4 linked regions of the Arabidopsis thaliana genome follow. The protein of the gene in region 1 purifies or fractionates together with the protein of each later gene. This does not show direct contact. Each region holds a gene or a part of one and is shown in the gene's direction. Other genes may lie near its edges. The genes, in order: AT2G05830, AT1G06030, AT1G06020 and AT1G50390.

Region 1 (5,062 bases):
AAATCTCCAACAATTTCGATAATTTTACCTTGTGTTCTGTTTTTTTTTACTTTTTGACAGAGGAGTTTCATCATACATTCTTCTTCATCTACAATAGAAAAAGAGATTATTGTTAATTAACTTGATTTGATGTTTGTTTTGTGTCTCGAGAAGAGTTAATGGAACAATGAGTCAAAAAAGGCAGAAGAGAGAGAGATGGCTATGCGAAATGAAAGAGGCCTAGCGAAGAAACAAAGCCCTAATAAAAGCAGAGAAATGAAGCGAAAATGCGATCACATCCATGATTCATTTATTTTTAAATTTATTTATGTTATTAAAAATAAATTATAATTAAAAACATATACAAAATATTTTTAGTTATTGTACCTAAACCCGCACCAGTCCCGCTTAAGTTTTTCAGGTAACAGAATAAATTTAGGTGTGTTTGGTTACTGGTTAAATAGAATAATGAATTTCTATTATGTTTGGCAATTGAAATAATGTAATTCAGAAGAAAAAAAGGAAAATTTGACAACATTGTGAGTTTGTTTGTTCAGAAAAAACCTTTTTCTACTATAGATGATTACTTTCTGAGCTAAAAGAAATGCTTATTTTTAGTTTGACATCTAACTTCTCACTTGTCAAATTACTCTTTTCATTACTCATAAAAATGCATTAAACTTTTTTTATTGGTTACCGTGAATTAAAAATATATAATCACAAGGATATGTAGTTGAAAAGACTTCGTTGGCCCTTTTCGAATGATTTTAAAACCATCTCATACGTGTGCTAAAAGTTTTGTCTACCAACTGTTTGTCGAAATGCTTCCGAAACGTTTTTTGTTTGTTGATAAACTAATAATAATTCTGATTTTCTGGTATTTTTTATTTGTTGTGCCGACTATTTTGCAGACACGAGAGATTAAAGGTATCCCAAAAATTTCTGGGAATATAGTTCTTATTCACCAATCATTTGTAGCAAACAAGATAGAAAAAACATGCCTAATTCTCCAAAGTTTGTTTTCATAAGTAATTTTGAATAATTTTCATTTCTCTTTATTTACTTCCATTATTTTGATATATAGTTCATATCCATATCTCTTATGATTAATTTTTTAATCATAACATGAGAAACGATAGGAATGAAACCTATTTGTAGGCGTTTACGATATTTCTTATGATACATTTTTTTTGTAAATTAGAATTTAGAAGTAGTCACTTTCGTTTTCATTACTGGTTCAATTAGAATGAGATATGATAAAACTAATAATTTTTTTCAATTGTCTGCTCTACAATCTACACAGGATTCCAAGGAAAAAAATACTTTAGGACTTCACATCACCACATCAGATATTGTCAAAGACAATTTTGTTTTGTGAAATCGAATACTCTGAATCCGGCTTTGATATCGAGGAAAAAACGCTTGACAAAGCATTGAAAGAAAAAAAAAATATTAGTTAAAGGAACCTTATACATTTTATGAAGTTTTTTTTTTTGTAAGCACCCGAAATAAAATTGATGAAGTTTGAGTATATCACTATGCCTTATGGTTTTTGCCGACCAAAATATGTCGAAATTATGAATACATATATTTTATTTATTTATTTATATTCTATTAAAATTATTTTGGGTGTAATAATAAAATTAAACTTCTATCAATTTTAAAGGGAGGATTATTAATTTAAATAACATTAAATCATATATGATATATAATCAAATAATATTTTAGTAATCTTAAAATTAAATTAAAATTTAAAAACTGATATTTAGATAATCATAAAGTATTAACCCACAACAATAAGTGATTACAATTTAAAGAACTACTATTAGTTTCTTAAAATATTTTAAAAGCACATGTGTTCTAAAAAGGTTACAGGTAGATAAGCAGTCTGCTCCTAAAGAACTATAAACAATAATCACTTTTAATTTGTTTAAAACCAGCTTGTTTCACGCCCTAAATTAACTAAAATATATCTACCATTATTCCAGACAAAACGACGTCGGTTGGTGTGTTTCACGCCGGCTTGGTGCTCTAGGCATCTATCTGATTCTCACTATCACTACTGACACAAATCCTTTTCCTTTTGTTCCTCTTTCTCTAAACCAATCTTTAAAACAACTTATTCGTCTTCAAGATTTCTCCAACAAGTCCTACCATGTCCGGCGAAGGAGACACGACCCTCAAAGCTATCTGTTACAAGCCTGGCTCTCTCCAGTTACTCGATCAGGTTCTCTCTTTCACTTCTATAAAGTTTTCAAATTTATACTTTTTTTCCTCAAATCTGTTTACTCGTCTGAATTGGAACAGAGGAAGCTTCCTTTAGAGACTATTTACTTAGAGATTCGTGATGCTTCAGATGGATGGTAAAGTCTTTACCTTTATGATTAGAGATTGTTTTGGGAAAATTGTGGTTTAAAAAGTTTGATACTTTTGGTAGGAGTGCTATTCAGGAAATGGTTGTACGTGGTGCTCCTGCTATAGCTATTGCTGCTGCTCTTTCTTTGGCTGTTGAAGTTTTCAACTTTCATGGTTTTGATGGATCAGCTTCAGATGCTGTTGCTTTTCTTGAGAACAAGTTGGATTATTTAGTGTCAAGGTTAGATTTTGGATTTGTTAGTTAAGTTTTGCATCTTTGGTGCTTACTCTAATGTCTTTTGCTTTTTATGTTTGTTTCTTCAGCCGTCCAACAGCAGTTAATCTTGCAGATGCTGCTTTGAAACTTAAACATGTTATAGCAAAGGCCTTGGCTACTGCCACCGAAGCCAAATCCATTTTCAAGGTATCAAGAAGTTTCGTAATTCATCTGTGTGTGTGCCTTTTGCTTTTGTAAGTTTAGCTCATTCTCTGTGCTTGTTGTTCTTCAGGCATATATTGAAGCTAGTGAGGATATGCTTGAAGATGATGTTGTTTCAAACAAAGCTATAGGAAACTTTGGTTTAAGCTTGTTGAGGCAACAAGCCAAGAATCCTGATAAGCTTTCTGTTTTGACCCATTGCAACACTGGCAGGTATTGATTTAGCTAGATTTTCTGAATTGCATAGATACCGTCTGCATAAGTTACTCAAGTTGAGTAATAGCATGTTACCACATATGTGTATGCAGCTTCAACCAATAGAGTTGTGTAATGGTTTTTGGTGTTATGTTTATGTGGTAGATTCCTAGTAAGGCATTAACTACGAGTTCTATTGACTTTGTAGCCTTGCTACCGCCGGATATGGTACTGCCCTCGGTGTCATCCGTGCACTCCATACTCAAGGAATCTTAGAAAGAGCATACTGCACAGAAACTCGTCCATTTAATCAAGTAAAACTCCTAAATTAATACTTTTTCTTTCTCAATATCGTAAGAAGAAGAATCCGTAGAATACCTTAAGTTGTTAGGGACGATAATTACCTCTATATTGACATATGTGTTCTTATCAAAACGGTGGTAAAAGCTTCAAAACCATGAAGGAACGTAGGACAGATACTTCTTGTGGCAGCTCCCTGAATCCATTGCTTTATAGAGTTTTCATATCTTGTTGAACTGTTGTTGAAAGTCTTTTGAATTTATGACTAAATGGCAATTGACAGGGATCGAGGCTTACAGCGTTTGAGTTGGTGCATGAGAAAATCCCTGCAACTCTCATTGCAGACTCAGCTGCAGCTGCACTGATGAAAGATGGTCGTGTTGATGGTGTCATCGTTGGAGCTGATCGTGTGGCTTCAAATGGTACACTCAAACACCTTAGATAAATCCGTTTTCTCTCACAAATCTGATTCCTTATGACTGAATCACTTCTTAACCAATTCATTGATATACTCCAGGCGATACTGCTAACAAGATTGGGACTTACAGTCTCGCCTTGTGCGCAAAACATCACGGGATCCCATTTTATGTTGCTGCACCTCTTACCTCAGTTGATCTGTCACTTTCATCCGGGAAAGAAATCGTGATAGAGGAAAGATCTCCAAAGGAGTTGATGCACACACACGGAGGACTTGGTGAACGCATTGCAGCACCAGGGATCTCAGTTTGGAACCCAGCTTTTGATATGACTCCAGCAGAGCTGATTGCAGGAATCATAACCGAGAAAGTTCGTTTTTCCAGCCTTGCTTGTTCTGGAAGATATTTATGCTCATTTATTTGAATCTCTCAACGTGTTTGTATATGCAGGGGGTCATAACAAAGAATGGCAATGATACATTTGACATAAGCAGCTTTGCCAAGAAGATAACAGGAAACTCATCTCGTTGAAGTTAGAGTCAGCATTGCGACTTGCGGATGTTCCCCTCTCTCTATATACTTGCAACAAAGCAAATTACTTTGTAATGTTTGAGCTACTAAGTACACTGTGGTAAAAATTGTCAAAAATAAGAAATAATCGATACGTTTTAGCCAATTGTAGGTAGCCAAAATGCTGGTCTTGGGTTTAATGCTAATGAAGATTGGGAAACAACTTGTTTTAGTGTAAAACAACTTGTCCATGGGCTTGCCCGGTCCATCTTGACTTGGTTCTTATTTCTCTATTTTTTTAAGTTTAAGAAAAGAATACCGTTTCTCCTACCCGTCAATATTGAAATAATTTCAGAGGTTTTCCTTGTTCTGTGTCAACAAACAATTCGAAATGCCTCGACTTTATCAATTTTTTGATAATTCTGAACTTTAGACCAAATGCATATGGACGAGCTATATTCTGGACCAAAAAACAAATGGTCTAATTGGGCATATGACCAGTTTTGTCCACGGATAATATGGGCTTGACCATATGGACAACGGGCTGCCCATGGGCATGAATTGAGTCAATAGACATGTCTTCATTTAATTGTATTTTTATAATTTTAATTACAATTACAACTAAATAATTTTTAAATAATATATTTTACATTTATAAGTTTTTACTTTTCTGAAAATTTTAAATTTTAATGAATTATTTCTTATTAAATTATTTACGATTTTAAAGGAAAGATAGTATTCCACAATTTTCTGGAATACGCAATTTTTAAATTTTACGGTTTTGACGGGAAAAATACAATTCTCCGATTTTACGATTTTGACGGAAAAACGTAATTCTGCAAATTTTCCACCAAAATCGTGATTTTAT
Region 2 (3,955 bases), on another chromosome or scaffold:
GAATCCCAGCGCCGATATGCTTCTCCGGCCAGATGAACTGAATCTTGAACTTATCAGATCCGTACGTAAAATCTTTCTCTTTGTTTTCAAGATTGTTACTCGTTCTATCTTTTTATTTATTACATTTTTCTCTTACAAGGTTTTTTAATTTCTAAAACACGCAATTTTATAAATTTCCTTCGGTAATAATATGCCATGTGTAATTTTAACCCTAATTTTACTCTTATAATTTGAAACGTAAATCAAAGAAAGGTGATAATTAAATCAATACAAGGCGTTAATTAATAAAATTTTGTAAATTGCAAACCAATCTTTCCTTTTACGGTTAACAAATGAATATTAAAAAAAAGATGTTGAAGGTTATGAAGCTATGACTTTATTTGAATAAAAATACGATTTGATATAAATTTTATTTGTTTGTGCAGGCGAAAGTGTTCCACTATGGATCAATAAGTTTGATAACAGAGCCATGTAGATCAGCTCACATGAAGGCAATGGAAGTGGCGAAAGAAGCTGGAGCTCTTCTTTCCTACGATCCAAACCTCAGGGAACCTCTTTGGCCATCACCTGAAGAAGCTAGGACACAGATCATGAGTATCTGGGACAAGGCTGACATCATTAAGGTCAGTGACGTGGAGCTTGAATTCTTGACCGAAAACAAAACCATGGATGATAAGACAGCAATGTCTCTATGGCATCCCAACCTTAAGCTCTTGCTTGTTACTCTCGGCGAAAAGGGATGTACTTATTTCACAAAGGTAAACATCTTTTTCGATTACTTGTTAATAAAGAAACTACTTTTGCAAGTCTTGATTGGGACAAAAACACTTGTGTAGAAATTCCATGGATCGGTAGAAACATTCCATGTGGACGCCGTGGATACTACCGGAGCTGGAGATTCGTTTGTTGGTGCACTTCTACAACAGATTGTTGATGACCAGTCCGTACTCGAGGTGGGTACTCAACTGAATGAATCTTCCTTAGTTGATCAAAATGCGATTTACTGATGATATCTTTTTTTCTTTAGGATGAAGCGAGGTTGAGAAAAGTGCTGAGATTTGCAAACGCTTGTGGAGCCATCACAACAACTAAAAAAGGAGCCATTCCAGCTCTTCCTACAGACATTGAAGCTCTCAGTTTTCTTAAAGACCAAAAGAAACGTCAAACCAATCTTAAATTCTCAAAATGGTGTTGTACGGCTTCTCCTTGTTAATTTTGATTTTGTGTGAGTTTAGATCCAAGCTGATAAGTCTTATTTGAAATAAAAGATCCCACAGTTTTTTTTTTAAATCAGATTTAAGAGACCTAAGTTTATGCGAAAGTGGAATTGAACCAATGCCGAATGTAAAAGTCAAAGAACTGTTATTTCATATTTGCTGCTCCACCAAATTTTCCTTTTTGTTAGTCATAGATATATAGACGAATCCATCTAATCCATTATATCAAAAATTTGTTGGTGTATTCATAGATATATAGACGAATCCATATAATTTGAATTAAATTTAAGAGTGTTGTGTTCATCAACTATCCAAATGTTTTAATTGCCATGATCAACCATATAGGAATGTTTCATAACCATATAGAAACGTTGAATTCATTGAACCTTTTAAAATTTCTTGTTTCAAAAGGTAGTCCATACATTAATTATTAAGAATTTTATCAACTACAATTATGGAAAAAATGATATTCAGATAGAATTTTTTTTTGCTCAAATGTTAATATATCTGAAATCAGGATATAGTATAACTGGAATTTCTAAATAAACTTATATATTCCACTTTTCAAACCTTCAAGGATTTAATTATTTATGATTTGTCATTTTTCTTTATAAAAAGCCATTAATGTGAAGAAATATGACCTCAAAACAAGATTTAAACCCTGTCTTCACTCTCCTAGAGCCTTATATAAACTACTCAAAACTTCGTTCACTCTTCATTCTCTCTATCGTTTTCATTCTTCGATCTCTGGAACACAAAATCGATCTTGTTCAAATGACGTCATCCAACGGCGATAATAAAGGTCTCGTCGTTAGCTTCGGCGAGATGCTCATTGACTTCGTGCCCACGGAATCCGGCGTCTCCCTCTCTGAATCCTCTGGATTTCTCAAAGCTCCTGGTGGTGCTCCAGCAAACGTCGCTATCGCTGTTTCCCGTCTCGGAGGTCGCGCCGCCTTCGTCGGAAAACTCGGGGACGATGAGTTTGGCCATATGCTTGCCGGAATCTTGAGAAAGAACGATGTCGACGATCAGGGGATCAATTTCGATAAAGGAGCAAGAACCGCACTCGCTTTTGTGACTCTGCGTTCTGACGGAGAACGAGAGTTTATGTTTTACCGGAATCCCAGCGCCGATATGCTTCTCCGGCCAGATGAACTCAACCTCGAACTAATCAGATCCGTACGTAAAATCTTTATGATCTCTGTTTTCAAGATTTCAAGATTTTACTTGTTTTGGAGATTTGATGAATATTTTTCTTTATTTGGCAGGCGAAAGTGTTTCACTATGGATCAATAAGTTTGATTACAGAGCCATGTAGATCAGCTCACATGAAGGCGATGGAGGTGGCGAAAGAAGCTGGAGCTCTTCTTTCCTACGATCCAAACCTCAGGGAACCTCTGTGGCCATCCCCTGAAGAAGCTAGGAAACAGATCATGAGTATCTGGGACAAGGCTGACATTATTAAGGTCAGTGACGTCGAGCTTGAGTTCTTGACAGGAAACAAAACGATTGATGATGAGACAGCTATGTCTCTGTGGCATCCTAATTTGAAGCTCTTGCTTGTTACACTTGGCGAAAATGGATGTCGTTACTACACTAAGGTAATGTACAACAAACATTCATGTGGATTCATCATCATCATGATGATCTTGGTGTGTGATTTTGATTGATGTTCTCTTGACTCTTGTGTAGGATTTCCATGGATCTGTTGAAACTTTCCATGTTGACGCTGTGGATACTACTGGAGCTGGTGATTCTTTTGTTGGCGCGCTTCTAAACCAGATTGTTGATGATCAATCTGTACTCGAGGTTAACTCCCATTGATATTGTGTGTCTATTCAATCAACTGAATATTGTTGATGATATTTACTGATTTTTCTCGTTTCTTAGGAGGAAGAGAGATTGAGAAAAGTGCTGAGATTTGCAAACGCTTGTGGAGCAATCACGACGACTAAAAAGGGAGCCATTCCAGCTCTTCCTACAGATTGTGAAGCTCTCAGTTTTCTTAAGATACAAGTAGAATAGTAAAACTTCTCTTCGAGTCCAGAATTCTCCTTGTCTATTGTAATAATCTGTTCTGGATTCTTCCTGATGATTCTGATCATTTGTAATGTTTTTTTTTTTTGGTTCTCTCTCTGTCTTTTCTTTTTCTTCTTCATTGTATTGAATAAAACAGACTTGTGACTTCTGAGCTTTTCTTGCTAATAGAAAACAAAGAGTTTTTCGTAGTTGTTTGGAACCGTAAATTGCATTGAGGATTGTTTCTCAAGGCTTTGAAAACAGAGTAATAATCAGGAACAAACAAAAAAAAACCAAGAAAGAACAGAGAGAACACATTTAGTATCAAGTTTGTAGCATCAAAGCATTAAGCATAGACCATGTTCAAGAGGTATGAACAAAACTCAAACACAGACATTTGTTATAAGCTCTCAACATATCTTACACAACTTAAGACAAAACTAAAATGTATATGACATTAACTCCACACATGCAGATAGGTTTCTTGTTTGTTCTTTTACATTGAAGAATGTCTACACATAGATTACATATAGCTTTTTAGCCAAGATCAGGGACAATGAAGTGTTCCTCATCATCATCATCATATCTGGTCTCAAACCTCGGCTTCTTGTGTGAAACATTTGACTTCATAGGTTTGTATGAATGAACATGACCTAAATGCGAAACAGAAAGCTCAGGAACTTCAGCTGCAGGAAGAGCCTTGTCATTAATCTGATCAC
Region 3 (4,159 bases), on another chromosome or scaffold:
GAAATCAAATGATAGGTTGGTTTAATTCGGGTTTATGATACCGGTTTAAATAACCCGGTTCTAATAAAACCAGATAGAGTATTCTTCTTCCGGGTCTCTCTCTTTCATTTGACATTTCGCTCGCTGGGTTCTTCACCGCTTTCAAGCTCTCCTCTGGGTCTTTCTTTGAATCGTGAAAGGTATCGTTTTTATATCTCTCTATACTTGTCTGATTCTTTCTCTGGATCTTTTTCCGTCTCAAAATTTGTTAAGGGAACTACATTGGCTTGTCGATTTGCTTAACACAAGCAGTTCTCATTTTAGAGTTAACGAAAGTAGCAATCGGTTTTCGATTTTGTAAACTTTAATCGCCAATTACAGTTACTGAAACTCTGTATTGAGAGAATTAGGGTTCGGTTTCAAATCAGCTGGGTTTTGTAATTTTGTTTCTCGTTTATCTGAAACCCGAGTTTTTGAGGCTCTATGTGTTGGGATTAGAGTCTTACGAGATTGTTATAATTAGGATTCGATTAATTTGTGGTGTAAATTCTGGTGGGAGATGTTTATGCAATCTCTAAACCCCTTTTTTCTGCAGTTATGTCTTATAATCAGTTTCTGCTTACTGCATTTTGATCTCTAGTAAACCATTTTTTCTCACTATTTTGTATCGAAATCAATGAGGGAACCACCAAATAATCCCCATCTATTGATTGAATGATTCTTCTTGTTTAGTTTAGATTCGTCACAAGAAACAAAATCTTGATAATTGGTCTAGGTTTCTGATCACTGGTTAGCCAAACTGTAGTCTGGTTTTAGTTTGTCACTCTGCTAAAAAAATTGGGATGAATTTGTGATGCTAGGAAATGGGAAGAGAGAAGAGCCCTGGTTTGAAGATCCTCTGGGTATGGACTATCGGCACTGCTGCTAGTATGATTCTCTTTCTGACATTCACTGAATTTCGTCATGAGATCATATGTATGTGTTAATACTGACTAGTCTTCTACTGGTTTGCAGTATTGGTGACAAGTGTTGTCCGCACAAGAATGCAGGATATGCAAACAATGATGAACCAGAACCAGGAACAAGCACCAAAAGAAAACCAGAACGGAAGTGCAGGTGATTCTTCCGTCTTAATGGATGAAACAGTTTTGCCTGAGTCGGATCGAGAGATTGCAGAAAAGCTTTAAAGAAAGAAGAGCCTGGTTCTAGTGTTGTCTTCCTTTTCTTCTCTTCCTTTTTCAGCTCTCCATGAAGGTGATGAAACATGTTTTAATGGTTTTGGTAATAGTTTCCGAATATGAGTAGATGATGCTAGTCTCTAGATGTGTCTAGGAAAATAAAACTTGAAAAGTGAATTGCTCAGGAAGCTTGATGAGGAGTGTCTAGCAGTTTTTTCGTGTGTGAATATTTTCCCTTGCAAGGATGATATATGATAAAGTTGCTAAGCGAAATTTTCTTTTCTCTTCTTATGTTCTATGCTAATCAAGGCTACCAAAAGGCATCAACTTTATTTAGTTCGGTCTGTGTTACATATGACTTATAATCATTTTTTGGTGGTAAACAAACTTTTTTAATTTGGTGGTAAACAAACTTTACAATACTGAGACATGAATTTTAGGTCAAAAACTGAGTGAGAGAATAGATATTTAAGAGTGCTTTGTTCTTATCCACTATATATTCAAAGTTCGAAATTCCATGATCAATGTAGAAATGTTGAATTCAATTGAACCTGTAAAGCTGTATCACTACATTTTTTTTTTTTTTTTGGTAGGCGTATCACTACAATTATGGAACAAATGAAAATCAGATACAAGAATTTTTGCTGGAATGGTAATAAATCAGAAATTCAAAATATAGTCTACCTGGAATTTCCATAAACTTGGATATTCCACGTTTCAGTTCAAACATATCTTCAAGGATTGACTTGTTTATTATGTGACTTCAAAGGATTAAAAACCATTTGAGCCTTTATTATATAAAAACCTACTCCATAGTCCATACTTCGTTCATTTTTATACTCTCTTATCATTTTCATTTTTCGAACGGAAAATCGATCTTGTTCGAATGGCATCATCCACCGGCGAGAAAGGTCTCATCGTGAGCTTCGGCGAGATGCTCATTGACTTCGTCCCTACCGTATCCGGCGTCTCCCTCTCCGAATCCCCCGGATTTCTCAAAGCTCCCGGCGGTGCTCCGGCCAACGTCGCCATCGCTGTTTCACGTCTTGGAGGTCGTGCCGCCTTCGTTGGGAAGCTGGGAGACGATGATTTCGGTCATATGCTCGCCGGAATCTTGAGAAAGAACGGTGTCGACGATCAGGGGATCAATTTCGACGAAGGGGCGAGAACTGCACTCGCTTTTGTCACTTTGCGTTCTGACGGAGAACGAGAGTTTATGTTTTACCGGAATCCCAGCGCCGATATGCTTCTCCGGCCAGATGAACTGAATCTTGAACTTATCAGATCCGTACGTAAAATCTTTCTCTTTGTTTTCAAGATTGTTACTCGTTCTATCTTTTTATTTATTACATTTTTCTCTTACAAGGTTTTTTAATTTCTAAAACACGCAATTTTATAAATTTCCTTCGGTAATAATATGCCATGTGTAATTTTAACCCTAATTTTACTCTTATAATTTGAAACGTAAATCAAAGAAAGGTGATAATTAAATCAATACAAGGCGTTAATTAATAAAATTTTGTAAATTGCAAACCAATCTTTCCTTTTACGGTTAACAAATGAATATTAAAAAAAAGATGTTGAAGGTTATGAAGCTATGACTTTATTTGAATAAAAATACGATTTGATATAAATTTTATTTGTTTGTGCAGGCGAAAGTGTTCCACTATGGATCAATAAGTTTGATAACAGAGCCATGTAGATCAGCTCACATGAAGGCAATGGAAGTGGCGAAAGAAGCTGGAGCTCTTCTTTCCTACGATCCAAACCTCAGGGAACCTCTTTGGCCATCACCTGAAGAAGCTAGGACACAGATCATGAGTATCTGGGACAAGGCTGACATCATTAAGGTCAGTGACGTGGAGCTTGAATTCTTGACCGAAAACAAAACCATGGATGATAAGACAGCAATGTCTCTATGGCATCCCAACCTTAAGCTCTTGCTTGTTACTCTCGGCGAAAAGGGATGTACTTATTTCACAAAGGTAAACATCTTTTTCGATTACTTGTTAATAAAGAAACTACTTTTGCAAGTCTTGATTGGGACAAAAACACTTGTGTAGAAATTCCATGGATCGGTAGAAACATTCCATGTGGACGCCGTGGATACTACCGGAGCTGGAGATTCGTTTGTTGGTGCACTTCTACAACAGATTGTTGATGACCAGTCCGTACTCGAGGTGGGTACTCAACTGAATGAATCTTCCTTAGTTGATCAAAATGCGATTTACTGATGATATCTTTTTTTCTTTAGGATGAAGCGAGGTTGAGAAAAGTGCTGAGATTTGCAAACGCTTGTGGAGCCATCACAACAACTAAAAAAGGAGCCATTCCAGCTCTTCCTACAGACATTGAAGCTCTCAGTTTTCTTAAAGACCAAAAGAAACGTCAAACCAATCTTAAATTCTCAAAATGGTGTTGTACGGCTTCTCCTTGTTAATTTTGATTTTGTGTGAGTTTAGATCCAAGCTGATAAGTCTTATTTGAAATAAAAGATCCCACAGTTTTTTTTTTAAATCAGATTTAAGAGACCTAAGTTTATGCGAAAGTGGAATTGAACCAATGCCGAATGTAAAAGTCAAAGAACTGTTATTTCATATTTGCTGCTCCACCAAATTTTCCTTTTTGTTAGTCATAGATATATAGACGAATCCATCTAATCCATTATATCAAAAATTTGTTGGTGTATTCATAGATATATAGACGAATCCATATAATTTGAATTAAATTTAAGAGTGTTGTGTTCATCAACTATCCAAATGTTTTAATTGCCATGATCAACCATATAGGAATGTTTCATAACCATATAGAAACGTTGAATTCATTGAACCTTTTAAAATTTCTTGTTTCAAAAGGTAGTCCATACATTAATTATTAAGAATTTTATCAACTACAATTATGGAAAAAATGATATTCAGATAGAATTTTTTTTTGCTCAAATGTTAATATATCTGAAATCAGGATATAGTATAACTGGAATTTCTAAATAAACTTATATATTC
Region 4 (2,938 bases), on another chromosome or scaffold:
TAACCACAGAATTTTAGTAGAACAGTTTAAAATGGTAAAGCATAGTCACTTTACCTGAATATAGTTAGCTGCATAAACGGAATTGTTTCCAAGCTGAAGCTGAGTTCTGTAGTCAGACCCCTAAATAGGTGTAAACCGTGAATTGTCAAAACCAAATAAAAGCTAAAAGGAAAAACATACTGAACAGAGAAAAGCCCTCACCTTGTAATCAATGACGAGGTGGCCTTGCGACTTATCTTCTTCATCTGTCAGCTGGCAGAGAAAAGAAACAATATGGTTATAGATAGAAAGAAAACATTATGCAGCTACTACAACAAAGACCAGACACACAATAATTTCTGGTTACCAGAGCATTAGCCTTGACGGAAAAATTGTCAGTTAAATCGAACTTGGCTCTCGCATTTAGTCTACCGTCCGTCGTGATCCTTCCGATAAGATATAGCTGTTTAGAAGTTTGTAAATGTTATATCTTGCTGATGGAAACCATTAATAGTACCACAGAATACAATCAATAAACAACATACCTTTGGATCGATGAAACCAGCACCAAAGTCATAATTGGCAGTTGGAATTTTGATTATTTCGGATGATGGAGTTGGATTAGGAACCTCAGTTGGCCCCATCAATATGCTGTTGGAAGCATCAATACACAGGCTTGGTTAAGAACACAAATAAGAATGATGTGCCACAAATTAACCTAAAATCTCATTACCTATGGCTGAGAAAAAACTTCTGGTTAAGCGACTTGTTATAGTCGAGGCGGAAACCCTCAAATAGCTCTGGCTTTAAAGCCACTGCAAAGTGAAATCAAACCAGTCAAAACACATGATCTTAAAATCACAGGCTAAGTTAATACATTATAAAAGGTTATGGCCACAGATGTAAAGGTTACGAATTGGTAGAATCAGAAGCATAATAACATATCCATAATACCAAAACACTCAATTACGATTGTTGGTTCAAACGCAGAGATATAAAAGACCAAGAAATCAGCGACCTAAGACAGAGACAGATTGTGATCTCCAAAAGAACAGAGAACGAATATATAAAGCAGTAGAGAGAGAGGGTGATACTGAACTGGTAGCTTCACGGTTGAGTTCCTCATAGAGGACAGGGCAAGGGAGGTTTGAGTAATCCACTTTCTCGTCAAGTTTGGTCTTTGCATCGACTTGCGCAGTGTTAATCGGTGGTGAAAAGCCCTCCATCGCTGCTGTTTACCGTCAAGGAAGAACTTTTTTGGGTCGCTAAAAGAGAAAACTGCAGAGGAATCGAAGACGAAGAGTCTTTCAAGGGTTTTTGGGTTTTGACTCTGCGTGTGCGTCAAGGGTTTTGTAATCGTGTCAATCTTAGTTTGGCCCGGTTTTATTTTACTTTTTTGAAACGGGTTGGAACCGACCTATTTCGGGTCATATACTTTACCGGTTTACCCTCATGCTCATAATTCACTATTTTATTTTCTTTTGGTGGCGAAAAATCAGTAATTATATTAATTACAAGTTTATTTTCATATAGTAAACTAAAATTTACAAAACAATTAAGAAGATCATCAAATAGTCAACAAATCTCCAAAACAAGATTTACTTGTTTTGGAGATTTGTTGCATATTTTTCTTTATTTGGCAGGCGAAAGTGTTTCACTATGGATCAATAAGTTTGATAACAGAGCCATGTAGATCAGCTCACATGAAGGCAACGGAAGAGGCGAAAGAAGCCGGAGCTCTTCTTTCCTACGATCCAAATCTCAGGGAACCTCTTTGGCCATCACCTGAAGAAGCTAGGACTCAGATCATGAGCATATGGGACAAGGCTGATATCATTAAGGTCAGTGATGTCGAGCTTGAGTTCTTGACAAGAAATAAAACGATCGATGATGAGACAGCTATGTCTCTTTGACATCCTAATTTGAAGCTCTTACTTGTTACTCTCGGTGAAAAGGGATGTCGTTACTACACTAAGGTAATGTACCACAAACATTCATATGAATCCATCATTATCAAGATCTTGGTGTGTGATTTTGATTGATGTTCTCTTGACTCTTGTGTAGGATTTCCATGGATCTGTTGAAACTTTCCATGTTGACGCTGTGGATACTACTGGAGCTGGTGATTCTTTTGTTGGCGCGCTTCTAAACCAGATTGTTGATGATCAATCTGTACTCGAGGTTAACTCCCATTGATATTGTGTGTCTACTTAATCAAATGAATCTTGATGATATTTACTGATTTTTATTTTCCTAGGAGGAAGAGAGATTGAGAAAAGTGCTTAGAATTGCAAATGCTTGTGGAGCAATCACGACGACTAAAAAGGGAGCCATTCCTGCTCTTCCTACAGATTGTGAAGCTCTCAGCTTTCTTAAGAGACAAGTAGAACAGTAAAACTTATCTTCGAGTCTAGAATTCTCCTTGTCTATTGTAATAATCTGTTCTGGATTCTTCCTGATGATTCTGATCATTTGTAATGTTTTTTTTTTTTTGGTTCTCTCTCTGTCTTTTCTTTTTCTTCTTCATTGTATTGAATAAAACAAACTTATGGCTTCTGAGCTTTTCTTGCTAATAGAAAACAAATAGTTTTTCGTAGTTGTTTGGAACCGTAGATTGCATTTAGAATTGTTTCTCAAGCCTTTGAAAACAGAGTAATAATCATGAAGAAACCAAAAAAAAAACAAGAAAAACAGAGAGAACACATTTAGTATCAAGTTTGTAGCATCAAAGCATTAAGCATATAGATCTCACAGATTAATTTGAGTATATTATTACTATTAAAAATTACTTTTTCTTATTGTCAAATAGATAAATTGATTGTGTGAACTTGAAGATTTTTGATTTGCTCTTTTAAGTCTTTAGCAACGCGAACAAAAAAGAAAAAGAATATGTAAAATGCTTGACGATCAAGTCATAAACTTATTGGTCTGCAATACTGGAGTTCTAATTTACACTGTA

What was found.
Region 2: the proteins of AT2G05830 (region 1) and AT1G06030 fractionate together in Arabidopsis thaliana (co-fractionation; one large-scale study listed by BioGRID). This does not show direct contact.
Region 3: the proteins of AT2G05830 (region 1) and AT1G06020 fractionate together in Arabidopsis thaliana (co-fractionation; one large-scale study listed by BioGRID). This does not show direct contact.
Region 4: the proteins of AT2G05830 (region 1) and AT1G50390 fractionate together in Arabidopsis thaliana (co-fractionation; one large-scale study listed by BioGRID). This does not show direct contact.

The regions. Positions count from the first base shown.
Region 1 is NC_003071.7:2,227,625-2,232,686, forward strand, and holds AT2G05830 (NagB/RpiA/CoA transferase-like superfamily protein), read left to right. Parts: upstream 1-1,914; 5' UTR 1,915-2,134; coding exon 2,135-2,206; exon of another isoform or gene 2,207-2,286; coding exon 2,287-2,342; intron 2,343-2,416; coding exon 2,417-2,575; intron 2,576-2,658; coding exon 2,659-2,758; intron 2,759-2,843; coding exon 2,844-2,986; intron 2,987-3,176; coding exon 3,177-3,282; intron 3,283-3,551; coding exon 3,552-3,690; intron 3,691-3,785; coding exon 3,786-4,054; intron 4,055-4,134; coding exon 4,135-4,215; 3' UTR 4,216-4,525; downstream 4,526-5,062. UniProt on the Arabidopsis thaliana protein: Catalyzes the interconversion of methylthioribose-1-phosphate (MTR-1-P) into methylthioribulose-1-phosphate (MTRu-1-P).
Region 2 is NC_003070.9:1,824,889-1,828,843, forward strand, and holds AT1G06030 (pfkB-like carbohydrate kinase family protein), read left to right. Parts: upstream 1-1,914; 5' UTR 1,915-1,991; coding exon 1,992-2,396; intron 2,397-2,485; coding exon 2,486-2,818; intron 2,819-2,909; coding exon 2,910-3,026; intron 3,027-3,107; coding exon 3,108-3,242; 3' UTR 3,243-3,391; downstream 3,392-3,955. Other genes in the region: AT1G06020 (pfkB-like carbohydrate kinase family protein), read left to right, coding at 1-61, 426-758, 837-953, 1,028-1,213; STO (B-box zinc finger family protein), read right to left, coding at 3,774-3,955. UniProt on the Arabidopsis thaliana protein: May play an important role in maintaining the flux of carbon towards starch formation.
Region 3 is NC_003070.9:1,822,505-1,826,663, forward strand, and holds AT1G06020 (pfkB-like carbohydrate kinase family protein), read left to right. Parts: upstream 1-1,745; 5' UTR 1,746-2,043; coding exon 2,044-2,445; intron 2,446-2,809; coding exon 2,810-3,142; intron 3,143-3,220; coding exon 3,221-3,337; intron 3,338-3,411; coding exon 3,412-3,597; 3' UTR 3,598-3,659; downstream 3,660-4,159. Other genes in the region: AT1G06010 (basic leucine zipper/W2 domain protein), read left to right, coding at 843-906, 994-1,166. UniProt on the Arabidopsis thaliana protein: May play an important role in maintaining the flux of carbon towards starch formation.
Region 4 is NC_003070.9:18,666,422-18,669,359, reverse strand, and holds AT1G50390 (pfkB-like carbohydrate kinase family protein), read left to right. Parts: upstream 1-1,682; coding exon 1,683-1,820; intron 1,821-1,907; coding exon 1,908-1,955; intron 1,956-2,043; coding exon 2,044-2,160; intron 2,161-2,236; coding exon 2,237-2,374; downstream 2,375-2,938. Other genes in the region: AT1G50400 (Eukaryotic porin family protein), read right to left, coding at 55-120, 202-252, 347-442, 525-630, 713-794, 1,079-1,205. UniProt on the Arabidopsis thaliana protein: May play an important role in maintaining the flux of carbon towards starch formation.